Oryzias latipes: one gene and its partner. The protein of the gene in region 2 purifies or fractionates together with the protein of the main gene of each other region. This does not show direct contact. Links are inferred from orthologs where the notes say so. Each region holds a gene or a part of one and is shown on either strand. Other genes may lie near its edges. The genes, in order: pdcl3 and cct8.

Region 1 (2,899 bases), on a different chromosome or scaffold from region 2:
AGAACTTCAATTTCTTTTCTTTTTTCTTCAAATTCCTCCACCCCTTGTATGAAATTTGTGAAATTTCCTCATATTTGACCTTAATTGATTAATAAAAAGAAATATGGAGAAATTATGAATAGCTTTCACCCTACAGACTTGACACTATTGCTCTTTGCCACCTTTTCAGGTAGAAAAGGGTAATTACGTCTAAGCTTTACACATCACTTAAAAAGCCATCACTGAATGTGTTCACTTGGTGCGCAGACTAATCTTTTTCCACTCTTTTTAATTAAACAGAAGATTCGAGGCCTGCCGGAGGGGATGTTGTAAGGAAAAGAAAAAAAAAAAAAAAATCGAAAGCGAGATTATTTTTGAAGAAAAGCAGCTGGATGATCAACTGAAGACAAGCCATATGCAGCATCTCCGGCTCCTCCTTCCAGATGGAAACAACTTTTCCTTAATAAATTGTGTGTAAAGATGGAAAAAAACAAAACAGAACTGCACTGCCATGACTGCCATGCGTGTTCATGCTTCCTAACGCCACAGTTGTAGCAATGAGGAAGACTCTGGTAGCGCTGCCTTGAAATGAGATTGGCGACAAAACACAAGTTGTAAATAATTTTTCAGCAAGTCCTTTATAATCAGCAGTGATACCAAATAAAGAGCATTTAGGAAAAATATAATTAAGGCAAAGAAAAGGTGAATTCAATGTTAATGTATATTTTTTTGTGACAAAACTGTCATGTTATTAAAAAAAAATGACAATTTATGTTTGGTGGCTCTCTCAGCACATGTTTACGACAAAGTGTACTGACAAACACGAGAGGAGAAATTTGGCAACACGGGGACTCTCTCAACAAGTGCCTTAGAGCAGGTTGATCGCCACCTACAGTTAGAAATATGAACTCCATGGTGAAGGCCACGCCCTTTCGCCTCTGCTCCAATGCTGCCAAACCCCATGCGGTTCCCTCTGGTTTGTTTCACGACTCTTTCCCGCTTATTCGTCGTCCTCCTCAGAGTCACCGTCCTTCCGTGTAGGAAGCGAGTTCCTGATTGATGACATCAACTTGTCTTCTATTTGTTTCCTCGGGTTCTCCTCCAATTCTGTCTTCACCGCCCCGGATTCAGAAAGCCTCCACTCCAGCTCTGGATGAATTACAAAAAAACATAATAAACATGTGATGGGACATGTCACGGGATAGACTCCGGTGACCCCGAAAGGGAACAAATGGATTACAAAGTGAATGAATAATAAACATGAACAAAGTCTAAACGCATTTTCTGCGTAAAAAGCAAGACAAACAAATGTTCTAGAATTATCCACATTTAAATTGAACATGTCCTAAAATAATGAGAATCATATTTAAGGACACTTTTTTGAAATAAACCAAGTTGCCAAACGTTAAAAGGACATTTGGCAAAATCCCAAACTAAGGTTACAAAACCCAAAAGTCTTTAAAACTTTATTTAGAAAAACTGACATGACAATTAGCATAATCACCAAAGCGGTGAGTATTATTCACAGATGTTTGACATCCCACTAAAGGCTCACACACAAACAATATTCTGAGAAATATTTGGAAATAACCATTGATGAGAGCTGTGGCAGTGTTTTAGCTACTGCTTACCTTCCACTTTGAGGTTCATGCCTCCAAACACCAGAGGACCGATGAACTGCGCCTTCATCTCCCCTTCAAAGTAGACGAATATAGTGGGCAGGTTGCGGTCGGGGTAGTTTGGGATGCAAGTGGTGGAGATGGACTTGAGGAACTTTGTCTGGGGAAATTTTCGGGCCAGCATGTTCAGGTGCTGATTGATGAGGGTGCAGAGGGGGATGCTGGGGGAGAAAAAAAAAGAAGAAAAGGTTGCTTTAATGTTGAACACAATTTTAAAAAAAAGGAAAAAAATGCTGTTTAGATGCAGAATTTTATTCATAATTGGATAAAAAGATCAACGTCTAATATCACTTTACTGTCAATATAATGATTCCCAAAAACAACAACGATGCAAAATTGAAAAGATGTTTGAGCATTTAGTTTCTAAAACAGTTTTAACACATAATGGGTGGTAAAAAAGAGGGTTATTATTATTTAAAGACTTATGTTAGCTGGAGCTTTGAAGATTTTTTTCCAAATGTTGCAGCCATCTGTGAGGTTTAGGTAGAGTTTGGATGCGAAGCAGGAACATCATTGAAGGCTCGCACTAAAATACTGTATTTTTACGACTACGGGGCGCCTTACTTAAAAGTCGTAAATTTTCTCCGAAATGTATGGAGCGCCCTTTGGTAAAGAGGACGGAGAAGAGGACAGCATGAGAACAGTAAGGAGGGCAGTGAGGACGTGAAAGAAGACCCCCCCCCCCCGAATAGTACAAAAATGCATGTGCAAAAGGCATGTGCATTAAGCAGAACAGCATCGTTTTGGTAACCCTGAAAATGCAAAGAGATACACTCATATCAGTTTAAACAGCAAGCTGTCACACTTTTACTAAGACTGGGAGGAAGCGCTGGGCGAGTTACACCACAATTTGTGAATGGATTGTAGATGCTTGGGCTAACGAGTGTTGAGGGATGAGTGTGGGTGTTTGTGGAGCGCATACAGCGCGGTCAGTCAACGTTTTGGAGTTGAGAAAAGAAATAAAGAATGTTCCTCTGAAAGAACTGAGACTGGCAACTGAGACGGACTCTGACGATGACAGACGGGAAGCTGGCGTGTTTGATAGAAATGTAGCCCAGCTGTTCATTTAGGATACAGAAGATGAGGACTTTGATGGATTTTTGGATGCTGATTGAGGACGGAAAAAATGTAAAAATAAATCACAACCAACTCAGTTTTGCTCCAGCTGCCTTTTTAAAAACACACACTAGCATGGATGTTTTACCAGTATGTTTGAACGTCCTCGCGGCGTGCGATTTGTA
Region 2 (3,001 bases):
TGTGAAGCAGAACTGAGGCACTGTGGTGCAATATGGGTGCCATCAGCCATGCAGGATGTCATTATCATCCGAGCCAAAACAGGACACGATTCCTGGGTGAGATCACAGCCACCAATGTCGCATTCAACTAAAAAATGCTTTACGGTGGCATAAATGGAGGATTTCTCAGTTTAAATAACAAATAATTGCAGAAAACCGGAAGCATGCAAATTCTTCAAAATAAAAGTACTAATAAAGATATCATTCCTCCTGATGTCAGCGTGCGCTGGTGACACTTGCTATCTTAATTCATAGCGAACCTCCTGCGAAACTAAAGTCAAGATGGTCTGCAACAAAATTCGTACATATTTTTTTTTAAAAGTCTGCTGTAACCCCCTTTTCAATTTCACCTGAATCATTGCCATGGAAACAGAGAACCCCATATGCGCGTCACCTCTAAGCAACCAGGGTTTTCATCCAACTCACCTTCTTGCTTTTACTACCGTCGGCCCCCATTATTAGCGTGACCGAGCATCAGGCTGGAAGGTCGGTTTGCTCCTCACCAGTGACTCCGCGCGGGACATCGCCGCCCCCTCTTCCCCTTTCATTTACACATCACACGCAGATACGAATTTTGTGTGCAATATTCATTTAGTTCAGCAGCTGAGATTCGATGCAAAACGTGGGATGGCGATAAAAACAAAACAGGATAATCCCTTTTATGGGCAACGTCAGCGTAAATCCGCACACATTTACCAGGACTCCTGGACTTCAGCTCCCCCTGCTGGACAGCAGCTGCAATATAAAGCAATTAAAAAAAACTCCCCTCTGATAACACGAGTGCCTTTTATTTTGAACTTTGAACATAAAAAGCAGGGCGATGTTTACTTTCGTGGTTTTACTTTGTCAACCAATGCAGTTCCTACAAAATAAAAGAAAACTGAGCTTTAAATAAACAGGTAGAAAACGTGGGTGAGTAGAGCGTTGGCTTTAGTCGTCGTCGTCAAAGTTCTTCTTGCCCTCTGGAGGTTTGGGGCCGCCTGCTGGTTTAGCCATGATGATCTGAAAGAAAATGAAAATAAAAATAATTCCTACCAGAAGAAATAAAAGACAAATCCATGCAACTCAAAAAATAACATGGTCAGACAACAACACCCATTAAAGTTAGAAAAGAATTCTAATGAAAAGTACTAGAAATGCATGTGACAGGGGAAAATTTGGTTCAAATGACTGCAAATTCCACCCAATAAGTCTACAAAATATAGTAAGGAAATTAAGCCTAAAATTGGCTCACTCCGAACCAAGTTCTGTCTGCAACTCAAGACGTAAATTTCTGATGAACTATGGCTGCTCTGCCAAAAATGCCCAAGAAAATGGCAGATTTTTTTTATTTTGCCAAAAAAAAGAAAAGAAAAAGGGCATAATTATACTCTAAAAGACACTGGGGACGCTTTAAAAATAGATCAAAAGATGATCTGAGTGGGACCTAAAATGTTTTCTCTAGAAAACTTTGCACCACAAGAAATGAACAAGTTGGGCAATAAAATCTGTTTTTCTAGTCTTCTTTACAAGTTTCCAAGAACAAACAAACACAATACCTCTTGAGGATGTCCACTGAAAGAAAAAGGATTACATGCATCATGCAATCACGCAACATCCAGTTTGTTTCATGCTGCATCACAGTGACACACGCCGTGTTGTTAGAAGTACTAGAAAAAGTGAATCTCAAAATTGTTTGCATCTCTGCAGAGTTTGTCGTTAGTAGTGACAGATCTGTTGTTTTGCATTTAGTGTCCTTTGAGTTCATCTGCAGTCTTTAGTTAGAAGTGCACACACGTTCCGAGACCTACTGCGGGGGCTCTGTGTGCGCGAGAGCCCGCTAATGGGTGTCAAAATGATCAGGCTCTTCGTCCCAACCATCCTTGTCCCAATGGCCTCTCTGCTTGGGAGTTTTGGGTCCCCCTGCAGGCTTAGCCATGATGATCTGGGTTGCGCACACACAAACACACACTTAATATTTGCTGGTTTTTGTTGTTTCCACTGAATGCCATGTTTTTATTATGACCGGCTTACTGCATCTTGGATTCTAAAATGTTGATGGCCATTTTACAAAGCTTCAATTAACAGGCTGCAGTGATGCCCTGAATTTCACAATGTCCAGCATGAATTTCTGCTTTTATTCTCTGTTCTATGTTATGGCCACGTTCTCCTACACAAACATCTAGATCATCCACTACTTTACAATCATGAGTTTGTTCAAAAAAGCTACATCAAATAGCAGGAACCAATAGTGTCACATGTAGAATTCTGGATGTGACTTTATCCTTCATATCTAGTTAGTTCATCATTTCCTGTTATAGGTTTGTTTTCTCCATTGGATGAGAAGGAAATCTCACTCAAGTAAACTACTGGTCAAGTTTTAGAACATGCCATTTTCAGGTTTTTGATGAAAGGTAAAAAAAATGTTTTATGTAATGTCTTGTTGCACTCAAAAATAAAAAACTAGGGCAAACGAGGAACTTCTTTCTTTATCAGAAGTGTGATGTTCTCTTAGACTAGGGGTGTGTATCCCAAGTGTCTGGAGCTACGATACGTATACCGTTACATGTCCTATGATAAAATACATATCGCAATATAGTAGCAGAACACATTTTCTGTGTTTTTAACATTACGACTGAAAAAAACTCTACCTAGGGCTGCACGATATGAGGAAAACTCGCGATATGCGATATTGGTAATTAATATTGTGATAACGATATAAATTGCGGTAAATAAACAAATAGCAAAAAAAAAAAAAAACATAATTTCCATTTCACTGAAACAGTTTAGAAATTATACTCCAAATGACCCTTGTCGACGTAGGAGGCAAACATCAAACATAAAAGGGCTCATCTGATTGATCAACAACGTAAACGGGTCCTTCTAATTGGTTAAATGTATAAAGGGATTTATTTCATTTGTTTAATATTTCAAGCTGCCATGAGTTTGTTTTAGCACATTTAAGGTAAACATTTATTGCGAT

The links.
Region 1: the proteins of cct8 (region 2) and pdcl3 purify together in Homo sapiens (affinity purification with mass spectrometry; 3 studies listed by BioGRID and IntAct, with this or other methods). This does not show direct contact. The link is inferred for Oryzias latipes from reciprocal best matches to the Homo sapiens genes CCT8 and PDCL3.

The regions. Positions count from the first base shown.
Region 1 is NC_019879.2:4,242,772-4,245,670, forward strand, and holds the end of pdcl3 (phosducin-like protein 3), read right to left. Parts: intron 1,820-2,899; coding exon 1,611-1,819; intron 1,129-1,610; coding exon 980-1,128; 3' UTR 599-979; downstream 1-598. UniProt on the Homo sapiens protein: Acts as a chaperone for the angiogenic VEGF receptor KDR/VEGFR2, increasing its abundance by inhibiting its ubiquitination and degradation.
Region 2 is NC_019872.2:12,638,206-12,641,206, forward strand, and holds the end of cct8 (T-complex protein 1 subunit theta), read right to left. Parts: intron 1,964-3,001; coding exon 1,859-1,963; 3' UTR 1,830-1,858; intron 1,042-1,829; coding exon of another isoform or gene 970-1,041; 3' UTR 809-969; downstream 1-808. Other genes in the region: uncharacterized serine/threonine-protein kinase SgK494, read right to left, coding at 466-495. UniProt on the Homo sapiens protein: Component of the chaperonin-containing T-complex (TRiC), a molecular chaperone complex that assists the folding of actin, tubulin and other proteins upon ATP hydrolysis.